Linked DNA regions of Drosophila melanogaster. The protein of the gene in region 3 interacts with the protein of the main gene of each other region in a pairwise test. Each region holds a gene or a part of one and is shown on either strand. Other genes may lie near its edges.

What was found.
Region 1: the proteins of AstC-R1 (region 3) and CG9498 interact in a two-hybrid assay, tested with the Drosophila melanogaster proteins (one large-scale study listed by BioGRID).
Region 2: the proteins of AstC-R1 (region 3) and CG17781 interact in a two-hybrid assay, tested with the Drosophila melanogaster proteins (one large-scale study listed by BioGRID).

Annotation. Positions count from the first base shown.
Region 1 is NT_033779.5:6,348,119-6,353,364, reverse strand, and holds CG9498 (uncharacterized protein), read left to right. Parts: upstream 1-2,330; 5' UTR 2,331-2,403; coding exon 2,404-2,777; intron 2,778-2,841; coding exon 2,842-3,010; intron 3,011-3,074; coding exon 3,075-3,806; 3' UTR 3,807-3,972; downstream 3,973-5,246. Other genes in the region: ppk7 (pickpocket 7), read left to right, coding at 1-11, 77-209, 267-320, 382-624, 728-1,041; CG9497 (uncharacterized protein), read left to right, coding at 5,214-5,246.
Region 2 is NT_033777.3:24,372,182-24,378,110, forward strand, and holds CG17781 (uncharacterized protein), read right to left. Parts: upstream 3,481-5,929; 5' UTR 3,361-3,480; intron 2,791-3,360; 5' UTR 2,730-2,790; coding exon 1,903-2,729; intron 1,838-1,902; coding exon 1,649-1,837; intron 1,584-1,648; coding exon 1,310-1,583; 3' UTR 1,275-1,309; downstream 1-1,274. Other genes in the region: CG17782 (uncharacterized protein), read right to left, coding at 222-555; CG33342 (HDC15381), read left to right, coding at 4,684-4,851, 4,904-5,142, 5,199-5,309, 5,383-5,524.
Region 3 is NT_037436.4:18,557,644-18,564,124, forward strand, and holds the start of AstC-R1 (allatostatin C receptor 1), read left to right. Parts: upstream 1-2,614; 5' UTR 2,615-3,061; intron 3,062-6,481.

The DNA of each region.
Region 1 (5,246 bases), on a different chromosome or scaffold from region 3:
GCGTCTTCGATGTGAGTGGTTATCTTGTTAATACCCACCAAGGCTATTTCTAATCCTGCACTTTGGATGCCTCAAGGATGAGCACAACAGCAAGGATTTCAAGTCGCTGCAAGGATACGTTTACATGATTGAAAACTGTCAGTCCGAGTGCCATCAGGAGTACTTGGTGCGCTATTGCAACTGCACAATGGACCTACTGTTTCCACCGGGTGAGCACGTTATCAAAATCGTTACCAAATGATCGATTCATTGGTTTCTCTGACCAGGTCAATATCGATCGTGTCGGGCGCAGGATTTGCTGTGCCTCGCTGAGCACAATGGTTAGTAGGAGTCCAGGCTCACCAAAGAAGACCTTATAAAACCAGTATCCCTCACCCGCAGACCTGCTCATCTACTCCCACAATCCCGGCGAGAAGGAGTTCGTTCGCAACCAATTTCAGGGAATGTCCTGCAAGTGCTTCCGCAACTGCTACTCCCTCAACTACATCAGCGATGTCCGGCCCGCCTTCCTGCCACCGGATGTGTACGCAAACAACTCCTATGTGGACCTGGATGTGCACTTTCGCTTCGAGACCATTATGGTCTATCGCACCAGCCTCGTCTTCGGCTGGGTGGACTTAATGGGTCAGTACGAAATCAAATAGCTTCTATAATCCCGTAATTTGTTCCACAAACTATGTATTAAGAGACATAGCTAATTAATAAATAATCAGGATTTTTCCACCAGTTAGCTTTGGAGGAATTGCCGGTCTTTTTCTTGGCTGCTCCCTAATTAGTGGCATGGAACTGGCCTATTTCCTGTGCATTGAGGTGCCGGCCTTTGGGCTGGATGGACTGCGTCGAAGGTGGAAGGCTCGACGGCAGATGGATCTGGGCGTAACCGTGCCCACGCCCACTTTGAACTTTCAACAAACCACGCCCAGTCAGCTGATGGAGAACTACATTATGCAACTGAAGGCTGAGAAGGCGCAACAGCAGAAGGCGAACTTTCAAAACTGGCACCGCATAACATTTGCTCAAAAGCATGTTATTGGCAAGTGAATCGAGTGAGCGAATAAAATATTCATTTAAATTAATTTAAAATGCTATGATTCCGTTTGGTTTTAAAATATTTTTTCTAGTGTTTTAAATTATTTTGTGCCACACCGAAATTACTGAGTGTGATAACGCAAAAGCTCTGTGGAAATGATTTAATCTATTGTTAGCGTGTGCGTGATAAGTTGGATGGGCTGGGCTTTTACTACTGAGGCAATATTCATTACCTACGGTCAGGAGCGGATTAGCTTCGATTTGCAGGCACCAACTATCAAACAATTATTGATTTTTAAGAAAAAAGCAGCATTTTATTTATTTTATGTTAATTCCTAAATGAGTTGGTTAACTTGATGAGAATTTGCGTTAATCATCATACAAAGAAAATACTAATAGAACTAAGTGAGAAACTAGGTGATTATATAAATCTGGTCCAAATCCCCCGCGCTGTCCAAATCCTTCCCTGAACCCGTTGATGTTTAACACTATCATCACCGTGAGTAAAAAATACACGTGTATATATGAGATGGACGGCACGTTTAAATGATTCTAGAATTGTATATTCCGATACGGATGCCTCAAGCAGAGTTGATAACACCCGGAGCAAATACCACGTCTGTTGACCCACTGACGGGCGGTGTTCCAGCAGCGAAGCACCGCCTGTTGTCAATCCGAACTATCAGCCGAATCGAATCTCAATCTCTCCATAGAGCACCTATGACGTGGTCGAATGACTTTGTTCAACAGGTTGCTGCTATCAAAACAAAACGAAAACAAGAGCTAAAAATTAATTAGGGTTTCATCAACCCACAAGCTAGTGTATTTCGTTGGATGTGGATGACTATGCAAAACGCATAGAGTTAGACACTAGACTGAGACTTTTGGCTCTTAGAAAGCTCGAGGCAAACAGTGGGTCGCAGTTGATATGTAAGTAAGTAAAAATTTAAGAAAGTAAGTAAGAAAATGTCACAAAAAATAGATAGCTATAGATATTGCACAAGGGTATGGCTTAGGAAGCACAACATTGTAAAATTTAATAAAGAAATATATAACAGATTATTTTAAGTGAAACTTTAAAGAGCCCCAATACATATTTTGTAGACGACTTTTATATTTAAATAGAACTAGAATATAAATTCAATTCATATTCGACCCACTATACCTTTTACCACCTAATTAGTTTATTTTTACGATGACACCACAGTCATACGAAAAGCTCGGAATTGTCGTATAAACATTTCCCAAAAAAACTAACACTATTGCAAGCAAATATAAAACGCTGAGTTCTACGAGGCCGCAAAATCAGTTGGCTACGAAAGGCAAGCGTTAAGGTTTCGATCGGAGGTGTATCGCTTTAGTTAGAGATTCGAAATGGTGGTCATTAAGAACGAGCAGAATATCTCGGTGCCCGAGTATCTCAACGAGCACTTCTTCACAGAGACCCTGGAGGAGGGTTTGCGGGAGTCGAAGGTGACCCTGAAGGAGATCAATTTTGCGTGGGGCAGCAATCCGGGGGACAACTATTGCTCGGCTATCTATCGTGTCGGAGTCTCGTTCGCTAGATGGGCCGACGGTGGGGAATCCCCGGTGACGGAGCAGCTTTCGCTAATTGTGAAGACCATTCCGATCACCGAAGCCACTCAGTTTCTGGAGGATGTCTGTGTGTTCATCAAGGAGAAGCAGACCTACACTGATGTCTTGCCGCGATTGGATATCCTCAGCCGTGGCGACACATTCGGAGCAAAGTAAGTTAATGAAAGTTTTGGATAAAGGCACACAGTGCTTACTAGCATCTCTATCTCACATCAGATACTATCACTCTGTGAAGACTCCGGTGCAAACGATCGTGTTCAGTGACCTCACGGTAGAGGGATTCAAGGTGGCCTCGCGTGAAAAAGGCCTGGACTGGAACCACGCCTCACTCATTCTTCAGCAACTGGGAAAGTTCCATGCCACCTCCATGGTGCTGGCCAAGAAGGTAGCAGTGATGACTCTGGAGAATCCTCGAACTTCGTAATGACTTCCTTTTTGCAATTCCACAGGATCCCGCTATTGTGAAGCAATACACGCGTGGCATGCTCAGCGAGGACATCCTGATGAAGAGCGACACCTTCGAGCAAATGTTCGGCGGCTTCCTCAAGGGCCTCATCAAGAGCTCAGCGAGCTGGGCCGGCTACGAGAAGATTAGCAAGCACTTGCAGCGCCTTATGGACAACTTCCGGAACGTGTGTGCGGATGCGCCCAGGCCGAGGAAGGGTGATCGCTACGTGGTGCTCAACCACGGGGATTTGTGGACCAATAACTTCATGTACGGATACGATAACGCTTCACAGCCGGACGTTCCCACGCGTGCCATCTTCGTGGACTTCCAACTCAGCTTCTATGGCAGTCCGGCCTGCGATCTGAACTTCTTCCTGAACACCAGCATCAAGCTGCAATTGCTGCAGGAGCGCCGCGAGGAGCTCATCAAGGTGTACTATGCATCCTTCAAGGATGCTCTGGAGTACGCCCGCTTCGAGGACATTCCCAGCTATGAGGATCTGCAGTACGAGCTGCGCAGCCGCGAAACCTACGGACTTTTCGGCATGTTCGCCTTCCTGCCCATGATCACCATGCCCAAGGAGCTGGCCCAGGACAACAGCATTGAGAACATGCAGGACGAGGCCTTCAAGCAGCGCAAGATGGATGCCATCTTCTCGCAAAAGTTCCTGAACGACCACCAAAAGTGGGCTCTGAAGCGAGCTGATTCACTTGGCGTCTTCGGGGACTACTGAAAAGTGGCATGAGTATTATAATGGTTGGGGTTCTGTGATATAAATGGAGGCTCTTCCAAGGCACACATCCTTGATATAGCTATATTAGCTTTCGGCCTGAGAATGTAAATGTTTTGGATTGATTAAAGTACCAAACCTGACTTCAATGCAATAAATCAAACTAACGAAATGTATTTTTTATTCAGATTTCAGGAATATGGTATCAGACAATTTTCAGGGGCTTGCACAACACATAACCACTTATGTTTTCAATTCATAGTCGCTTAAGTATACCACTTATTCTATGAGTGTACGCTGATTTCTGATGCCTGAGAATGAGAAAATATTAAGATAAGATCACATTGACGCAATCGAATCAGGGACTTATACATATATGGTTACATTTCGGGTTGTAGGTTTCGAGATCCGAAGTAACCATAAAAACGATTGAGTTTGGAAACCTTATGGAAGCACAGTCAGCTTGAGCTTGAATTAATAAATTACACAGTATATATTACGCATTTCTTATAAAGCTTACAATCATCTTGAATAACCACGTAGGTATTAGATAATAATACCCTTAGCGATCACGTGCATTCAGAATTTGATGATTTCATGGTTGTTTCCTTCAAACATTCTCAGTCACTTAGTTTCTGCAGTCTGGGATTATTTTATTAGGGCTCTATCATTAGGTCAACTTATAAAAAAAAGTAGAATAGTGTTATCTTCTGTCTAATGTGTTTATTAAAGCTATAGCTTTTATACAACAGGTTGCATATATAAAGTACCGAATGAGGTATATTCTTTTTATAATACCCATCACCTAAAATGTAGGAGGATAGTAGCCATCTTAATAATATCATCTAAACCTTGTGTTTAGTGCGATATATGGCCTAATCATATTACCTTTAAGGTAAGATATTGAATGTAATCATGCCAAACAGATTTAATATAAACGATTACGTACAAATATAATATATTTAAGAAGCGTTCGCATATAATTAGCTTCGGATTGACACTTGACTGAAAGCGTTCCCTTATCAGAAACTCGTTGGATTAATGCAAATTCGAATCAAAACTTGATAAGATAATGAGCTGCCAATCGCTGCAAGTGGAATTCATCCAGCAGAATTCGAAAAATATTCAAACTGAATATTGTCGGCAGAGTTCAAAACAGGAAGTCAAATTACTAGTTAAATGCGCCTAAAAAGGTCGACGTCTCCGCGTTGCGTGTTTTACAAATATCGAAAAATTAGACATCTCGTTGTCGTCTATTAAAGTCTATATATAACTGAAAGTATAATACTACACATAACTGGATACACATAACTATAATTAATTGCGCCGCCGGATTCAGCTGGGCAAGATCATAGCGACACGTATATAAATTGAGCACCGCCTGGTAGCCACTTTTCAAACGATCCCAAGATGTGTAGCATTGTGTTCGACGCGGACGTGGTT
Region 2 (5,929 bases), on a different chromosome or scaffold from region 3:
TAAACGGATGAAGAGGGAGGGGTAATTGAGGCATGTGATTTGCATTATGTGGCACAGTGGCATAGTTAGGGGTAATAATAGACAAGGTTTAAAGTCACAATCTTTGTAAATATTTTAGATTTATAAAGATTGAGATTTATTTTTATACTGCAATTGCGACACCCCCTATTCAATGTAAAATGCCCTTTAACTGCGTCACTGTCCCGTGACTGAGGACTTACCCATCTGAAAGGAGCTGCCTTCCGGAAATACCAAATAACGTCGTTTCCGGGACAACAGCTCCTGGCTGGCTGACTGGTTGTTCTGGTAGGATGCGGACGCAGACTCATTCAGCCTCATCTCGATGAGCTGCTCCAGGCTGCTGTCGTCCGCATTGTTTATGCTCAGTGATGGCTGGCTCCCGGTTGCCAACTGGATGGATTCCCCGGTCTTCAGTGCGTCGACCAAGTTGGCCACGATGAGAAGCGTCAGGATGGTCGGCCAGCAATTACCTATCGGGGAATTTCCCTTCTCGATGGCATTGGAGCAGCTCCCCATCTTTTTCCGTGTCGACATTTTTTCAACCTGCTGTCGAAGCGTTGTCCATGCGGCAACTGTTGGCCAAGTATCGCGATGCTGGCCCAAACCGACAAAGAGAGGCAGCAACAGAAGCGTTCTTGGCCAAAAGTTGGCTGTTAATTGTGAGTAGTGGTGGTGGCCAAGCAGCTTTCCCTCCAGAAAGTTTCCAGTTTGAGTTTGAGCTCCGCTCGTTAAATTTCTTTTGCCCTCCTCCTTTGTCTTTCATTAGTTTTCACACTTTTCGTCTTTTGTGCTTTGCCAAGTAGTTTGTCTTGCAGAGCTGCTTCCATTGCCATCGCCTTTTGCTCCGTGTGCTCATTGGTCTATTTAGAGGTTCAAATTACTTTTTCACGCTCCCAACTTTTGGTTTATTCGTTCCATCCCGAAAGTAGCACACTTCCATCTTATTCCGATAGTGCTGCAGAGTGGAAGTTGAAGTAATGTGATCACTAGCCTCCGTTTTTCCGGTGATAAACTCAAATGCTCGCCTTCGACTCGGGAGATGCTTTTAGCTGCAAGTGAAGAAACTTCCAAATGACTTTTGTGCAATCTTTTCTTTACAATATCCGACTAGCTTTCTGGGTGGGTTGTCAATACAAACTATAAGATATATTAAATAGCTCGTTAATCCCCAAAGTTATTCAAACACTGATTTCTACTGTAGTGCCCATTAATTTTTGTACATATAATATTGATTAAAACTCAATAGCAGCATTCACATAATTCCCAGACTTTTATTGTGTTTTTATGTTCAATCCAACCAGAACGTGTGATTACAGTCACCGTAGATTTGCCGACAGTTGCCCTTCTGCCGATGTGCCTCCAGATAATTAGGGGAAATCATTAGCTCAAGTTCCTCCAGCTCCTCCACGTCATCGCTGCTGGGCAATTGAAAGATGGCCGAGAGTATTTCCATTATAAAGCTTTGTGGCCTGACCGCATTCGTCCCTCGAAGGACATGCTGTTGCCTTTGGGAGGACTCGCAGAGTGCGCGGAGCACACAGGAGGTACCATTTAGTCGTCGCCTGGAGGATTACACGTTTATTACACCACTGAGCGAAATAATTTATAGTAGGCGTCTTAAACTCACGACTTGTACAGGCGTTCGATTTTGCCAAAGAGCAGCTGCCTCGAGCTGAGATGCTGCTGCAGGTGGAGTCGCTCGAAGTGGGCATCCTGATCAAGACTGCGTCGCCTCCTCCGCCGAGCGAAAACGGGATATATGTGATGTTTGGGTGGTGCTCGTAGCACTTCTCGGGGTCGCTGGGAGTAGGCATAGCTGCGAAATATTATTTTTAAAATAATATTTTAACTTAAATATGTATATTTTTTAGGTTTACTTACTCCCACTTCGAGGGGCCCCATATGCGCTGTTTTTCTCGCCAGTTCTGCTGCACTCGCTGTCCATTTCGTGTCCACCAGTTGTCAGCGCCCGTCGTCTTCACCCTTTGCTGCCACTCAGCGGGCGACTGTCGCGCATGCCAATTAGCAGGAATCGCCGCCTGGCTCTGCTGTCCATTTGCATTTGCATCCGCATTCGCATTTGCATTTGCATATGGGTAAGCGGCCGGGATGCGCTGGATATTCGTGTAATACGAGTGGGAGTCATGCTCATTGGCCGCATATGCCGGTGGATTCGCCGGCGGTGCGTGCACTGCCTGCCAATTAGCCGTGTCTGCTCCTCGATTGTCCAGTTCCAGGTTCTGCGAGTGGGTTAGGGGCTGGGATGGAGGGTCAGGTTCTGGATCGGGTACGCTGCCGTTCCGGCGGACAGTGCCGATGGTGCCGTCGTTGATGCGCGTGAGCACGTTTTCAATCAGCTCGCTGGGCGGCTTACTGGGCAGCTCCCAGGCCACGGAGCAGGTGATGCCCAGGATGGCGTAGTTGGTGTAGTCTATGATGGGTATGATGATGTCGAACACCAGCTGAAAGGACGAGCCCTCGGGGAAGAGCAGGTAGCGTTTCTGGCGATGCAGTCGCAACATCGCATCCCTTCCAGATTCAAGTGGGCCAGCGGGAGCAGGAGCAGGTGTGATGACCACTGTGTGCGAGACATTCGAGTGACCATTACCACTTGGTGCACTATAATTTTGGATCAGGCAAAGAGGCAGCAGCAATATGAGCAGAGTGCCGACTCCAGCACATCCAATTACTTTGATTGTTTTCCCCATTTGTCCTTAATGGAAACCAGCAAAAGTCACTTGGTCAACACTTAGCAGCCAAAATGGAGTTCTAATGAAAGTATTTTTGATGGAGAGTTGTAAAGTATTAAGTAAGTATTAATCTCTGAAATATATTCACATTTTATAAGTGATATTTGTAAACTAATAGAATGGATTCTTATATTAATGTTTGTTAACATTTTTGAAACCTATCGAAGTATCTCTTAAACGAGCATCATGTAGCTCTATTTTAGGGCACCAATCAATTTTATGCCTATTTTTTTATTCTCAAGAGTGGCGTCCCAGTTTTGTTCACTAGTGTAATTGAGCAATCGAACATTCCGATTGCTGCGTGCCTGGGCACTCGAATCGAAAAAAGCGGCGACGAAATTTGCATAATTTCACTTTAGCTGTGACGCTTCCATTTGCCGGCACTGCCAATCATGCGTTAAATTAATGCAATTTTCGACAATATTCGAAGCGCAAGAGATGTCCAATATCCAATGGCCGGCCAATGGTCGATTCTCGCTGGTCCAGTTTGAATCCGTTCCGATCGGGCTGCACAATTAAAACACTGCCATTTTCGAGGGGCCAAAACTCCGGTCGGAATTGAACGCGAATTTATGAAGCAGATAATTACCATTAGGGGCGAATTGGTTTCTCGATTGGGAGCGATTTTGGCCGGGCCTAAACTTTTTATTTTACGATATGTTGATGCCATTAGCTGTCCGAATCGAACTCGAACTGCTACTGAAACTGATGCCGCGCGCATTCCGTCCAACGATTTTGGTCCAGTTTGGTTTGGCCAAGTTTAATTGTACAATTAGCACCCAATTGAGTGTCGTTAACTCGATTCTGTGCCATGCCAAGTGCTCTTTAGAAGGTGCTAAATAGCCCCATCCATTTGCATTCCATCTCCCAATTGAAATTGCCTGCAGCTGAAATACTAATTCCTCGATTTTTCACTCTATTCATTTCGTACATTGTCAAATTGCCCGACAACAGATTGTTTAATTACTATATTTGGTTAGTGATTGCTGGTTTTTTTTCGCGCTAACAATGCCGCGCTAGCCACCGCAATAAATAATCTTTAAAGTGACAAGCCAGTCAAAAAAAAAAAAAAAAAACAGTAGCGCATAGTTAGTATTTAAAATATTTTAATCACTACTGCTTTCGGATGGATTAAACGTTTAACGCATTCGGCGAAATACTCAGCTTGATTGAGTGCTTTTTAATTTTCACATTAACTGCTCTATTTTATTTTACCTCTTGTTATCCAAACCCAATATTAATGTTATGGCAAGGTTTTTAATTAATTCATGGGTAAAAACCTTAAATACACTATTATTTAATGCGAATTGATAAATAAAAATCTTAATGGTTTTATGATATAAACTGATAAACAACCAGGAACACCCATGAAGGAAGGGCAAAGAGCCATGAGCTTTCAACCAAAACCAGGTGCCAAGAGAGGATTCTTTCTGGGACAGAGTCTACACATCCGAAAGGCCATTGAATCCTAGCATACGTACAATGCCATTCCAGTCACGGAGAAGTGGATCTGGATGAAGGGCAGATGGTTTAAGGAGTCATTGCGTATCGAAGTAAGTGTTTCAGATAGTTGGAATGGCCACAGCTTCAGTTGCGGTTTCGATGCTCAGTATTCATTTTGTCCATTCGTTTTAGTAGAATGTAATAACTTAAATAGACCATTATCTTCAGGTTCAAATATTCATATGAATTGTGGTTTTTGTAACTTTTGTGGTTTTGGTAAGATCTCGCTTAAGATGCAATTTAATTGGACATTTTACAGTTCAATGATTCGTCAAACTTATTTCTTCAGTGTATAATGGCAGTTTTCTGTTAACTTTGCGAATTCCCCGTCTGTCAATTTCTTTGGCAAACTAAGAGCTGAGTTTCCCAATGCTGCCGCAAGTTGCACCGGCTGCAAAATTAGTTGACCATGCACTCCAGTGGCAAACAGTTCCAGCCGAATTCTTCCTCCGTCCTGCTGCTGTTCGTCCTAGCTGCGAGTGCTGCAGGAGATGGGAATGATAGAAATGCTAGCCCTGGGCTCAGTCTCAGTCGCACCAAACGCTTGGCCATTTTCAATGGTCAGGGCACAAACAAGGTTGACCATCGATCCAACTTTGGCATTCCGGCTCCTAATTGTTCTCCCCCAGATTGTCGCTGGCTTGGCGTTTCCCATCAAGCAGGCGGATACCGTGCAGTCGGTTTGGGGATTCGTCAACTACCAGGCGCAATACGTGCCATCGCCTGTCCCAATTTACTGGTGGAGTTTCTGGAACACCTCGACATTTCTGTCCACCGCCAGGGAGTGGAGGAAAGGCATCCGGAGCAGGGTTTTCCAGGACGAGACCCGAGTTTGGCTGTACGATGTTGTGGAGACGGGATTGGAGCGGTGTGTATTTGATGGCTCATCTGTCATCGCCTTTTACTGGTTTATTCGTGTTGCAGGCTCGGAGATCGGAATGCAGGTGCCTGCCTGCTCAAATGTATCTGTGAGATATCCCAACGCCCCTTTATGCACAACAGCATTTTTGGCGAGATACTGAATGCAGTGCTGGTGTAAGTCTAGTTTTCAGTACCTTTAAAATGCTTAAGCAAAATGTAGCACTTGTTATCTTTAACCATTTAACAGTCCATCCCTGGATAATGTGCCTGAAAAGTATCTGCATGCCCGGAATGCCGGAAAAGCTGGTGCCAATTGCCGGAAAACTTACAGTGACTGCAGCAAGGCGTTCTGGAATAAACTCATTCAAATGGCCAGGATAACTATCTAAGTAGAATAAAAAATAATTAGGTTGAAAATCTCTTGAAGCAAGAAACCCACTTCTATGTATTTAATATTATTTTAGAGGCTTTTCGCTTCATAAACTAGTTCATTTAATGGTTTCTAGTGCACATTATTTATTACATTACATTACATTATGTTATTTTAAGAAACATTATTTTAAATTAGTTTCTCGAAATTCATGCTGTGTGCTCCTTTGCATTTGTCTTTTCGATTTCGAGATGCTGGTATTTTTATTGTCTCTGTTTTTTTTTTTTTTATTTTTGTGGCTGGTGCTCGTGTGAGATTTTTACTAATTTCCAACCAAGTTGAACTGTAAACAATGTCAGCAGAGAAACCAAATGAAAACAAATGCAGCTAGCAAAACACCGAGGGGCAAGGACGGGCGGGTGGC
Region 3 (6,481 bases):
TTTATATGGAAATTCAACGGTGCAGGAAAGTATAAGGGAAAAAATTAACAGAATTTATAAGAAAAGTTTGCCTGCTACCGAAAACTTTTTCACAACAAGAGCAACCACGAAAAGGTCCAGGGAATGGGTTTTAAAATGATAAACTGACCCTCATCGAGATTGTCGTCCTTATGCGTCTGCATTCCCAGACGCCACCGACAAAACCGCCCAAAACTTTCCCAGCCACGTCGTCTGTGTTTTGGCCAACTTAATTCAATCAAGCGAAAATTGCTTTAAAGTCGAAAATGATTTAATATTCTTGTGGGAGTGATTTCAAAGCAAACTTTAATGAGCTGATTCCTAGCAGCAGTAATTACTCTGGACAAGCAAAAATGCGTTCTTGAAATTCAATTATCTACATTAAGCTACATATTTTTGCGGCCAGTTGTCAAAGTGAGGCTGACAAATAAGCAAAAGCTGGTAATGAAATCTTTGAATGCCCTTGAGTAACAAAACAAATTTAAATACGTTAAGCGAAGACAATGCCATTCAGTACAATGTCCTAGATTATGGCTCATTTTATTGACTTTGACTGGTTGGCACTTTTGACGTCGTTGGCTTAATTTCAAATTTTCTTGTTTTCCGGACTTATATTCAAGACACAAATAAATTCTAACATGGCATGCTTAATAGTAATTTTTTTAAACCAGCCAAATTTATTTATTTACATTTTCATAGAACCTTCTGCAACATTTTACCGATAAAAACTATATTTTTTATAGTGTGCTTCGAGCGGTATTTAAAACATATAAACTTTTCACTGGTAGATAATTTAATTTAAAGTTTTGTGTACGACACAGAGGGGACTTTGCTATGGATAAAACTTTTTACGATTTGAGGAATGGTAAACAATAAACATCTCCCAATTTCGGTCGCATTTAAAGCACTTTTCAGTGCCAACGGAAAAGGATTAAAGCAAACTGTCGGAAATTCAACCAGAAGGATTAAAAGTTTTGCTCAAAAGGCCAAACTAAAGTTTGACTCCGAAGAACGTCGACAGTTGCCATATTTTCTGTGTCACTCTCTTTCCAAAGTTTCTTCTAGATATCCCCCAACTCTTACCATATGTTTGCCAGCTTTTTTTTCACTGTCATCTAACCAAGTCGAACTTTTTTCTAAACGAAAACATCAACTGGCTCCACATGGAAATTATTGCAGCAAATTTCTTTCCAAGTTGGGTGCGAACAAAAACGGAAAATTTCCTGTTCTTCTAATGACCAACAGAGCAAGGGAGATAACTCCGGGTTTGGGCCAGGTGGATAGTTTTCCAAGTGCACGGCAATTAGATTTCGACGCCTGGGGCTTCTTAAGTTGGAGCTCTGAGACGGTGGCAGTGCTGAGATATGATTTATTTACCCAAAAAATGTAGGAGGAAACTAAAGATTGGTATCTGAAACGCAATCACTTTCCAAACTTAATTTAAATATCTGATAAATTTGCAAACTAACTTTGTAAACTTTGGAAAAAATATGTATGAATGATTTATATCGAGTGTGATGTTTGGTAACGAGGCAAGAACATATTTTTAATGTTTTTAAGAATATATATATGATATAGCACAGTCTTGCTATATCATATCCTAAGTAAATTGTGAGAGCATGCATTTCTTGTCCTCCTTTCCATGTCATTACTGATTTCAATTATTGCAAACAACTGTATGCAAAATGCATGCAATTAAGGCTAGAATAATCAATCAGCAATCAAAGCCTTTCCGAATTCAAGCTAATACACGTACATTTGCAACTATAATTATAACATTGACTGTCCCAATACCGATATAATTTTAAATGCAGTGCCATACCTGAACTACGAAACAATTGTGCCGAAAATAATATGTTATGCAAACACATTTGTGTTATTGGAATTTGGTAAAAGTATAAATAACACATTACGTATACGGCCGGTAAGCCATCCCATAAACGATTTTGAACATTTTAATTATAAGGAATTATAAATCTGATAAAATAAGGGTATATGCTCGCTAATATATGTTAAATTTAGAGTAATTAAATTTAGGTCCAAAATAACTGGAAATAATTTTTATAACAGCATGATACCAAAGGAAGGTAAAACTTTTTAAAATTTCTTGTTTTAGCATGAGATAGATAACACATGGAAGTAGTTTTGATTAACCTATAGCGACAACACATCTCAATATTATACTTTGATAATCCTTGTTCTTATATCCTTCTAAATGGCACCAGTAGAATCAACAAGCACTTGCCCAAAATGGCAACAGAACTGCAAGCGCTAACATTCGACTGTTGTTGGCCAACGAAAGTGAGAGTTCGTATAAGAGAGAAAGTGTCGGCGGGAGAGTCTCCCTCACCGCGTGCTCTCCCGACCAACTGTTAATTGAGGAAAATTGCAGCTGGGAAAACGGCAGCAGACCGCAACACGCATCAGGCATCAGGCCAATCGGGCGACGAACCTGAAAGCCGAGCACCGAGCGCAATTGTGGATCCGAGCGACTCTGCAGTCGGAAAACTCGCATCGGAAAATTCGCATCGGAAAACTCGCATGCACCATAACAAAATTCGCCGGCAAATGCGGCGCGCAGTATGCAAAACAACACCGGAACGTGCAGTTCAGTCACTGTATCTGAATCTAAAATAATAATATAAAACCAAACTACGAGCAAACCCAGGGTAAAGTAAACAAAAACTTCGCCAGCGCCAAAGACCAAATTCGATGAACGTGCGCGAAAAACTCAAACCAAATAGGGTGAGAGTGGCGAAAAAGTTGGGCGGGTGATAGATAACCCCCGGGGGCTTTTCCTGCTGCCTGCATCCAATCCAAATTAGCGGCCAAAAACGCAAGGAAAATAAACAAATAATTTTACTACCAGCCGCCGTCGAATCACAAATAAATCCGACGTAGAGTGAAAAATAACATTAGCGTCGCAATCCGAGGAATTGCAGAAACGCTTGCCAAATATTTTGAAAACCCCGAAAAGTGCGTGGTGTGCCATTTTATCGGATTCGAAAGGATGAGTGGCTAGATGACACAATATATTCAAGTGGTAAGCAAAATGTGCCTCGAGGAGCATCGAACGGGTTGCCTTGTGTGCACATCTAAAACGATTGGGTGCTATCTATCTCCAATGTGATTAGAAATATGTATGTACTATATAGTAAATAAAAAATAAGCTCTCCTCATCTACATATAAATATAATCCTAATTCTAGTTTTTGAACTTAAATTAAATATAAATATAGTTTAACTTGAAGGGTTTGCAATACTTTCGCTCTGTGCTTGGGTTTTCCATTTTCAACGTTCAAATGTTTGTGTGCGTTGAAATTTATCAGATAACTGAAATTCTGTGCGAATAGCAATTTGTAACTGTTGAATGTCTTGCGTTGAGGGAAAGAGGTTGGTCTTCCTACGAGGCGATGGGATGGGTTGAGGAACGAGGATGCCCGATGATGTGGAAACTGAGAAGGGCTGACCATCGACGGCAGCCGCAGTAAACCAGAAAGGATTTTGGGGAAACGAAACAAAATTTGACAAATTAGGGAATGCTGGAATGGTCGTAAATGTTATTCAGAGAAGTGCTATGCTGAGAATAAATGCAGAAATTGTTACGGAGACATGTTGATTAATTCGTTATGTGAGATGTGCAGAATAAAAATGCCAATTTAAGAAAAGAAATGCCAAGGCCACAAGTAATTTTCTTAATAAATATCCTGCATACATATTAAAGTGCAGCAGAAATTATTTGTTATTGGCTCATTACTCCTAGGGGTGTGGAATTTTGTAAACTTGATTTAATTGTAAGTAATTCCCATTTTATTATGAGAAAGTTAACCAAGTGGTTCAGAACCAAAGCTATGAGCTACTTACAATTTTTATAGAAGCCCTCTATGTTGTTCAGCTATGAAACTCAAGTTCCTTTAGCCTCCGTAGTTCCCCCTTCACACCAGATAACCCGGCGAATGAGCTCATCCAGCTAAGTAAAGTCCACTAAAACCGAACACCCCCTCCCCGCAAGACCAACTAAAAGGCACAAGGAGGCGGAGATAGCCACTGCCACCCCATGACCATAAAGCCCAATCAAAAGGCCGTTGCACTCGCTGACTAACGGACTAACTGAGTGAATGACGTGCCCTGGCCCAATCCTTCAGTCAATCGGTTTGATGGCCTGAGTCCGAATGTGGAGCTAGAAGCAGCACGGGAAGACAACGCAAACAGCAGGCGAAAGTGAAGGAGCAAGTCACGGAGGAGGAGCAAACGAAGCGTTTCAGCAGCTGCTGCTGCGACTCTGCAACTCGGGGCGTGTAATTTGTCAGACAGATTTCTTTTAGCGCCAGGACACAACCCCTCCCATCCAATCCAATCCAATGCTTCCTACACACCCACACTCAGCAATTGCCCACCCACAAAAAATACCGCCCACGTCATTGCAACAAAACTGCTTCCTTCCTGACTTTTTTGGCCATGCTCTTTGAAACTGAACTGGGCGTCCGACGAGGCTGGGATTGCTCTTACAAATCAGATATTCCCTTTAATTATATAATTTACAAATCTTTGTTCGTGAGTTTATACATTACATACATAAAATCGGAAGTGTTTTAATTTGCTTTTACTTTTGCATTTAAAAATGAATTATAATCAAGTTGATATAGTATGCAATTTTTTAGCTTGAAACTATAAATTGTACACTTTTAAATCCGTTTTATTTTATAATTTTAAATCAAGGATCTTAACAGAATAGACATTAAAAATTGTAGTCTTTCATTATAGGTTTGCACCATTGGTGACATATTTTGTCAATGTTTCTGATACCAAGTAGCATTTGGCAAAAATGTGGTTAAGATAAGAAAAAATGTATAAAACACCCCGGACTTTTATTAAAACCCATTGAATAAGTGAAAATGGGAACAGTCTGTGCAAAGGTATTGAAAAAGGAAGGGAAAGGAACGAGCCAGACATTGACATTTCAGTGCAAATGAAGTGATAAAACGTAAAGGCAAAGCGGCGTCAGCTAGAAAATTGCCAAAGTGGGTAAAGGAAGTGTAGGGAAAAGTGTGGAAGAGAGAGACAGACATAGTTGGGGAGAAAGAGACGGACGACTGAGCTAGATAGAGAGGGCCTGGCAGACAAAGCGCGTCGAAAATGCGTCTAATTTGATGGAAGCGATGCATGCCTTAACCTTTCGTCGGCGTCAGGCAAACAGACAGCAGCAACAACGAACACAACGATGACAGGCACCAAATGATAGCATTTCCTCCCAACTCAAAGGATCCGACTTAGCCAAGAACAAGGACACTGGCAAGGGAAAGGGAAGGGGAAAGAGTAGGAGAAGGGACCAGCCAACTGGGAGAGGATGAGCACCGGATTCAAATGGCGGAACAAGTGCCAGAGATGCTGATGTGGCGCCTCCTCAGCTGCTGACAACAAATTGATGGCCAAGGATGCACAGAAATTCCTCGGAAATTAGTCAACGCACAAGGGATTCCCACAAACTTCACTTAAAGGGGAAACCGTTCTGAAATATTAGACCGTTGTTAATATCCCAATCCTTCATGCTTTCCCAAAACAAAATTCACTTTCTTTCCTTAATCAGAACGAAAAAATATCCAAAAAAGTCCCTCAAAAATACAAATTTAGATTTAGTCTTTATTTTATCATATCACAAACAAATAAAATCTCAAATATTTAAATATTTAAATTTAATCGTAAAAATGATTCAATATTGAGCAAAATATATAAATTTACACACTATAGTACTTTTAAAATGGGTTTTCAAAATTCTGATGCATTTCATTTACATATAACAAAAAATATATTATATTTTATCGGAATTCCCTTCTGAAAAGTGCGTAAAACTTTTCCATCACATTTTCCAAATAATTAATTAAGTGGCACAAACCAGTGTTTCCGCTAGAATCAGCCCCTGGGTTAAAGTTTTCTGCTGCTAATTAGAGAATTTTCAATAATTATGCATCATAATTGACAATTCAGTTTTTCACTACTCATCACTTGCGGACGGATGGGTCTTTCCAGCACCGTCAACTTTGAACTTTTTCTGCTGCACCAGACGACAGAAAACGAACAAAACTTTTGCAATTAATTACGGACAAGACCCCTAAACTAAGAAGGGGTTAGATCGGGCGGTGGGTTACGTTCAACTTATCCCATAGAAAATACAAAAATTAAATAATAATAATGAACGGGATAGGAGGAGCTCTGTATTAGAGAGATCTGCTGCAATTAGAATTTTTTTTTTTAGAACTAAAAAGGAAATGGAAATGCATTCAAAGGGGTTAAAGGGATGGGTAGCATATCATATTCAACTGTAATGACTCTCTCCCCTCCCGACTGCAATGGCCTACTAAAAGAGAATTAATGAGAATGGGCGCAGAGGGAGGGCGGCTCTATCCAAACATCCACATCATGATTGACGAGTTAATGTGGACTTAGTTAGGGTTCCATCTGGGCCA